Linked DNA regions of Styela clava. The protein of the gene in region 1 binds, or shares a complex with, the protein of each later gene. Links are inferred from orthologs where the notes say so. Each region holds a gene or a part of one and is shown on either strand. Other genes may lie near its edges.

Region 1 (3,934 bases):
TGTTGCTCAGCTGCGCTTTCGCTACTATTGGTGCATCATCTTGTGTAACAGTAATACATTTTACGACTACAAGTCCAGACCCAGTAACAGAAATATACCTAAAAAAATTATTTTAGTTACATTTAGTACAAGAATTTCAGTTTATACATACTTACAAGTAATATTTCAAGAACTCACCCTTCCATTGGTTGACCACCAAGTTGTGCAAGCGATGGTCGGTGATGAGCTCTCGATATTTTTTCTTTGGGATTGTCCAACTTGTCCACGTGAAGCACAACCTAAAGCATGCGAATATAAATAAAATAATAGAGAAAGATTCTGTTATCTTCTTTATCACTTTTATTACTCTACATAGAATTTCTTAACATCAATATCACACATTACTAAATAATCTGGTTTATATATCATATAAAAAAAACGAGATCAAAATCTAAATATTTGAAATCTAATATCATTGACAGAAAAGATATATTTGAATTGTGAGAAATTTCACAACTTCACTCAAATAAATGCTTTCTGCAGTCCAGAATTACAATGTCGGGTATGAAATTAGTTAGCCAGGTATTTGTTTTCAGGAGCACGGACTTGATGATGGAGGATGCGAAACAGACCAGTGGTTACGTGTACCAGCCTACGAGGCGAGTGTCCAGCAATTCTCTCGCACATACCTATTCCCGCATGTGATTCGAACCTGCGAACTCATGCAGGGTAATCAGAGGTGCGGTGACGAGTGTATTCCTGACGCTTTTCATAATGCGTCCCACCGCTGAGCCTAAGTTATTGCTCAAATTTTGAATTGAAGTCTGAACACAATCAAATTGAAGTTGTATAATAAAGACTGAAGCTGAAAACTAATTCAAATAACTTCTGAATTAATATAAGTCTGTTTTAGAAAAAGGGATCATGTTTCAGGATTATAATATATAAGATAAAATATTTAAAAGTTGAACTGTGTGCTAGGCAGCTCCAAAAAATAACGATAGCTACGCCAAAGTACCTTTCGTCCATTCGATAGCCATGATGAGGCCAAAATATCTTCCCCTTGTAAGTCGCATCCATAAGTCGATTTTTCTTTCCAAACATTTGTCAGATGATTTGATGAAATCCATACATTGCAAAAACCAGTTGAAGTTGAGCAGAGTAACTTGTTGCCTTGTTACAGAAACAAAGATATACACGCTCAAAATGAATTAAATGCCAACTTTCTGTATCTCAAAAATGTCTGGAAAGTGTCTGTATGTTTATTTTTTTGGTACGTAACCATTTTTTGTATTTTATTGAACATGTAAATAAAACAAGACATAATTTGATTGTTACTTTCAATGAGATGAGTATATCCTTTGCTGCACTTTAACAAGTCCTTGAATATCAGGTTCAATGGAAAACGTATTTACAAGAGTTAAAAATCAGGGTAGCGAGCTGACTAGCCTAACGATATCCCGCTGCATTAGCACACACCTCAAAGATGACTCATCAAAATTATAAGAATTAATTATAAAATTATAAGCAAAATTCACGCTTGATCCTTGATCACGTGTAATAGCAAGCACTAATCATTTTCACAAAGTTGACTGCAGATGGTACCACAGTCTATCAAACGTCCCTACTGAAACACTGATTTTTTTAAAGTTTACAGTTGATGTATATTTATATGTGAATAGAAAAAAAGGTCAAAATCTAGACGATCTAATAATAGCTGAAATGTTCAATTTACCTGTTTGATTCCATTGCAAAGTTTTTACAGAAGCTTTATCGAATGATATTGTGTGGACATTCCATGGCTGATTTGGATCAATGATGCTGACATATCTTTCTGTGTATCCTGAATATGGATTATGGCATTAGCATACTATATACAGATATATTAGCAATCGGCAACCCGAGTGTTCTGAGCCGCATTCGGTTCTTTGTTCTACAAGCTCTGGCTCTTGTGAAGTGATTACAACAGTTTTTTTGTTAAAAGCACTGGAGATTCAATGCCAGAGGAGGCATAAAGCCATATAGCCCTACTCCTCACTAATTACACATCATAGCGGTTCACATAATATAACTCGCGAGTCGTAAAAATAAGTTGATGCATGTCAACAAACTTTTTTATTTATATTTTACACATTTTTTTCATTTCGCCATAAACTGCATAATTGCATCATTTGTAATCCATATAACTGTATAATGTTAGTTTCTTCTTAGTAGGAACTAAATTATTACATCATAAGTGGTTTTTGAGAGTTTTAATAGCCACTGACATTTGAATAGATGATGGGCTCCACTGATTTATTTGTTAAATATTACTATATTTTGAAAAGCTTTCATTACTGCATTCAGTTATTACAGGCATCAAGCTACAGAGCTAAGTTGGAATTCAACTCTATTTATTTTCAAGGCTTCTAAATTTTGATTTTTGAATTGACATTGTTTTGAACACTTTCAAAAACTAAAACGATACGAAAGCAACAAGCAAACTTCATTATGGCAGAAAGAAACCAACCTTTGACTACTTTTTCCCATGGATATGCCAAAAGATTATTGCATGACCATGTTGCAGATATGGGACTAGAACTACTGGAGTGGCCGAGAGATTGAACTGATGACTTTGCATTTGAACTAATCCGATAAACAAGCTCCATTTTCTTGTTGTTTATACAGATAACAAGCTAGGCTACGACTGCGAGCAAACGACTACATTGAAAGGGGATTCCCCGTCGGCCAGGATCTTAGATTAAGCCCACCGCACAAAGCGCTATATAATTTTAGGAATCCACTTGCACAGGTCACGTGACTCTGTTACTGGACGGCAATAAAACAAAAACGTCCATTTGGCTCCTGTCAGTCGCAAGTCGGATTATACGTTTCCGTTTTGTTTGGCTGTTGAAAATGGTTATTTCGTATTGTACCGTTGGCTGTACGTATAGTATAGACAACGAAATGGATCTTCAGTTATATTCCACTGATTTCAAAAGATCCGGAACGTCGCGCAATGTGGATATCATCTGTTGCCTGATTGCCTATTGCATTGGCAGAAAAGCTTGGTGTCAAGTCCAGAAGCCATCTTACATGTGTTTCACTGTTCGCGGACAGCACTTCGTTGATGGTGAGTGATAATGGGGTGATAGTGTGTCGTTATCAATTTCTTTAAATATTCACAAGCTCCCTCATTTCAATGGAAAGCAGATGACAAACTACTGTTATTAGTAGGCCTACTTGCAGTTGCAGACTTAACTTGTGTAAGACAGTAAGGAATTAATAATCAATTGCTATAGGGTATTGTTTCCCTAATTAGCAGGTAATCTATTACTAAGTGTGAAAGGTTGAATAAATAACTAAAGTTTAACAACAGTGGTCATGCAAAAAATAACCAGAATTCAATTGAATTCGCCATCTAGGAATACGCTCGCCACCGCATTTCTGATCACCCTGAGAGTTTCACAGGTTTCAATTACAGAGAGGATGCGAGAGGATTGTATCTCTACTCCCACCGAGGGTGGTTCACATGACCACTGATCGGTTACGACCATTCCCCACCATCCAAGTCCATGCTTCTGAAAACAAATCCATCGTGCTCAGATTCGACTGTTTTCAATGACTGAAGGCTCCAACAGCCTTATTTTATGGGTACACAAGAGAATTTTCAGTGTGGCATGCATGGGTCAGTTGGAGCAATGACATTAAACAACATGATGCGCAACTCCGGCATTTTTGGCCGAAGATCGTATTCGATAGCACGCTCCAATGCACATACTTGACGAGACGAAAACGAGCGGATGTGTGTTGCTTTCAAGGCATAGCACGAATGGTGTTCGAGCCTGCTTCGACAATTGTTGTGGTTTTTAATGATATGTGGAAAATTGAAGGTAAAAAGAAATCGGAAAAAAGTAAGGTAAATACTATTGTTGTATATCACACCCGGGCATCGCACTGTTAAGTACATGCGGGA
Region 2 (3,934 bases), on another chromosome or scaffold:
GGCCGAGACTGCGTTGGTTGGCTAGGATTATGTCGAGCTATTACAGATCTGATTGTTTGTATAAAATTATGGGGATCAAGTGGAAGAACCCCGAAAAATTGAGAAGTTTTTTGTGAATATATTACTAGCATAACTTTATTTTCTGCAGAATTTTGACTCGGAGAAGGTATCTGGATTAATCCCATCCACTTATTTTTCATAATATTTGCCAGTTGTTGCATTTGGTCAAGTGGGGACATTCGCAAACTGACAGAAATATTATTCTTCATTTGATTTTTCATTGAAGTGAATACAATTTGAGGAATAAGTTGCATGTTCAGTTTGGTTGGCCACAGGTTTGCATTCAATGATTCATCTGATTGAGTTGAGCGCAACAATACCTTGCATTGGAGAGTGTGGTTAGTTCTTGCAGTTCCTTGAATTCCTTGTGCTATTTTTCTTTTTTCGGTCCATTCTAAAATGCCATCCCATGTTATCCTCATGTTGTCTGTTGGCTGTCTTGTAGCAGGTTTTGGAACATTCCCAGTGTTAAGATATGTTGATGGTAGCTCTTGCCCATGATTTAAAAGGTGGGTTGGTTGTTGTGCTGAACCACCAATGCCCATGTTTCCAGCTTGTTGTTGAATTGGATTATTCATCTGATGCATAGTAGTGACATTTCCTTGAATCGATCCTGATTGCTGAGAGGGCATAGATGAATTGAAACTCTGTCGAATGCCACGGTTTGGTGGGAAAGAATTTGATGATGAAGTAAATGTATTAATATTGTTTGACAAAATTTGTTGATTACTTTGCATTCCGGAATTTAATGCATTAGGAGTACTGTACGGCTGCGCCTGCTGCATGTTTGAAGGTACAGAAGAGAATGTATCACCTATGCGTTGAGTTATTTGTTGATTTCCTAATCGTTGCTGTTGTTGCTGGTCTTGCATGGATACATTCTGCTGTTGAGTTTGTTGGTTGTACATTCCATCAGAATTTTCAGGAATAGTGGCCGTTATTCCTCCCATGCTGTTTGTAACCATGTTGACACTACTATCTGAGGGTTGTGGGAACGAAGTAACATTGGAAATAGGTATCTGCGTATGTGACGAATGTGCATTTGGTTGCAGCATGTCCTTAAGATTTGTGGTTCCCACATTGCCAGATCCATGAGACATGACGCTGTTGTTAGATGCCTGACCAAGAGATGATCTGGAATAAGGAGAGTCATTGCCAGACTGTAATATATTTGAGTTCTTGGAATTGGTAAAATTCATACTCATGTTAGACTGCTGCGGTTGAGGTTGAAGATTTTGGCTTACAGAGAAGCTTGGCAAACTTGTTTGCAGCTTTCCAAGAGAAGTTGAATTTAAATCCTGTGCTATCTGTGTTCTCATTACAGACTGCCCTGAAGGTAATGAGTTCTGATTTGTATTTGTGGATGCTGCACCTGTATTGATTAGCTGTCCAGGCTGAGATTGTGGTACTGAAGTAGAGAAAAGTGAACCGGGAGATGATGCAATAGAAGTTAGTTGTGTGTTGTGAGTAACTGTGGTAGATGATGCAGTTTGATGTTGAGATGGACTTGGAATAGAGGAAGAACTTGTGGCAGAAATTGAATTCAATGTGTTATTTTTCGATGCATTTTTTGAATGATTTTGCTCATCTTTGATATTGAGTTTCACAGGATCACGCTCTGTAGGAAGTTGAAATCCGCTGATAAGAACAAGATGTCTTGGATCTTGAGCATAATTCATAGATGGAAGTTCATTTCGATTAGCAGAAATGAATAAGTCCTTGAGAGACCTAATTTGTTGCGGAGATATCACTGAGAGATGAATACCTTTAGTACCCATTATTTCTGCTAGCTTGCCAGCAGTGTGACCATTGTACATATAAGCTTCACTGCATGGAATATCATAAGGTGGAGAATTGCAAACCAAAAAACATACTTGCATGGAACGTTCATGGTGACGCCTTTGGGCAAGTTCATCAAACAGCTGTAGGGTCCTCCCAAGACCTTCAGACACAAGGCTAGATCGTTCACATCCTCCACCAGAAAATGAAATGGAGTTCAAACTGTGGGAAAACTCCCAAGGGCTTTGGGTGACATTTGAGCATCTTGTTACTAAATCAGGGGCACAGTCTGCAGAACTGAAGAGAACATAGCCGAACTGACTGTTGCCGTGGTTACCAACATAATCTAATGGGGATGGCTGTCTTCCGTTAAAATATTCAATTGCTGGCCCTATATAAGACTTCTTTATCTTTTCCCAATGTGATAGCATATTGGCTGTTGCCTCAACCACAACAATAAAATCAACAACTGTTGGATCTTTCGATGCAACCATGTTTAAAGGATGTGATGTTTCAAGCAATCGAGAAATATTCAGAATATAATTCAATTATAATCAAGCTGTGAAATTGAGGTAAGTATTGCATAATGTTATAACAAATAGATTGAAAGTCTAATAAATTAGCACCTCTCTCAGTTTGTAAGTGAAATACAATTTAGAAAACGATAGTTCCATAAATAGAATCGATTTGAAGCTGTGGAGTTAGTTATCATAGGAACATGGTACAGTACAGGTAACTCAAAGCTGAAACAGGTGTTTTGGGATCCTTATGATGGCAAGAACTTCTTTCAATGGAATTTGTAATTTCTTATGATGGCAATACTGTATTATCCATCTATATACCAAGACAAATAATTGCGCTCTTGAATTTCGATGGCTGTTGTACACTAACAATATTATAGTCATCAAATAACAGAATAATATTGTCATCAAACTAGCTTTGAATTTGGTAAATGCAATTTTGAATTTGAGCAACAGTTTTATCTATATTAATGTTTGTTATTATTTTGCTGAAAATTACACAAAAAAAACATAAGACTAGTGAATAGGATTAAAATAGCATCTACAGGCCTTACATGTCCTATTACAACTGAATCCATTAGAATTGAGATTGCAATTTTTGAATAGTGCAATTATTACTCTTAACACTCAACAATTTTCGAGACCCAAATTTTGGAGTCCTCCAATTTTTTTGATCAGTTCATACAAGCGTGTGATCTCCTTTCATAAATCTGAAAACATTGTATTACAAAATACCAGCTGTAAGTAAGATGTAACTGCACATACGTTTCCACAACATCGAAGGGCAGGCGTTTATTGTATGTTAGAGACGGATTTAGGATTGCGCAATGATATTCGATTATTCGGTTCCATTAGGCAAAAATATTCGATTCAAATCGAAAAATTATTCGATTTTGGACAGCCCTACTTTAAAGTATTCTACTTTTTCTATATTCAGAATTAAAAATAGTCCACAAAGTGCCTGGAAAACATACAAGTGCCCGATGTTCTGCTCAGTGGACATGTATACTAATACGGCACCTTTCGCAATACAAAATTGTGTAAAATCAATTCAAAATGGATAGAAAAAAAATTTCTATAAAGTACGATCAGTATAAATTAATAGAATTAAATCGTGTGATTTAGAAAGGGGCTCTCTCAGAATTACAATTGATACTGGATCAATTTTAGTTTGGTGTTGAGGAACTTGTATGACCTATAATGCCAGGGCTATTCTTTGTTAGCATCTGGCCATTTGTTTGTATTTCCGCTGGGGCTGAAGAACAGGAGCTGTAATTGGAGCCAAGCATACCAGTACCATAATACTGTAATAAATGGAAATACCAGAAATTTTATCAGCTCTAGGTCCTAACCATCAAATTAGTTTTTACATTTGTGTGTTTGTATTTTATAATCCGTCAATCCATATATTCTACCATTTTAGATAATACTTTTTCTTAACATTCAATTTCAAATATAAATTTCACATTAAATTTGTCGCATCTAACTTTTCATTTCAGAATTTAAAATTATTATACCGTAACTTGTTTCCCCGAATATAACAGGGTCCTATTTCAATTTTCTTTAGAAAAATA

Evidence for each region.
Region 2: the proteins of mediator of RNA polymerase II transcription subunit 16-like (region 1) and mediator of RNA polymerase II transcription subunit 25-like are in contact, whole or in part, in a cryo-EM structure (PDB 7EMF), measured with the Homo sapiens proteins. The link is inferred for Styela clava from reciprocal best matches to the Homo sapiens genes MED16 and MED25. Residues at the interface, in NP_005472.2 of Homo sapiens: Cys41, Arg42, Ser92, Ser94, His113, Arg161, Lys163, Phe171, Gly172, Gly173, Lys174, Pro195, Gly485, Tyr486, Ala516, Ala517, Gln520, Val521, Thr524, Arg525, Ile554, Ala555, Ser558, Lys561, Ser562, Leu563, Leu564, Arg565, Pro566, His567; in NP_112235.2 of Homo sapiens: Ala26, Asn27, Gly29, Pro30, Tyr31, Val74, Asp75, Cys76, Ala77, Pro78, Glu79, Val82, Cys84, His85, Pro87, Lys102, Phe103, Met104, Gly105, Gly106, Gly107, Gly108, Glu109, Thr120, Gln123, Leu124, Asp127, Phe128, Tyr151, Leu152.

What each region holds. Positions count from the first base shown.
Region 1 is NC_135264.1:6,227,916-6,231,849, reverse strand, and holds the start of mediator of RNA polymerase II transcription subunit 16-like, read right to left. Parts: upstream 2,706-3,934; 5' UTR 2,628-2,705; coding exon 2,489-2,627; intron 1,823-2,488; coding exon 1,715-1,822; intron 1,153-1,714; coding exon 998-1,152; intron 279-997; coding exon 178-278; intron 99-177; coding exon 1-98. UniProt on the Homo sapiens protein: Component of the Mediator complex, a coactivator involved in the regulated transcription of nearly all RNA polymerase II-dependent genes.
Region 2 is NC_135258.1:20,078,246-20,082,179, forward strand, and holds the start of mediator of RNA polymerase II transcription subunit 25-like, read right to left. Parts: upstream 2,436-3,934; 5' UTR 2,334-2,435; coding exon 1-2,333. UniProt on the Homo sapiens protein: Component of the Mediator complex, a coactivator involved in the regulated transcription of nearly all RNA polymerase II-dependent genes.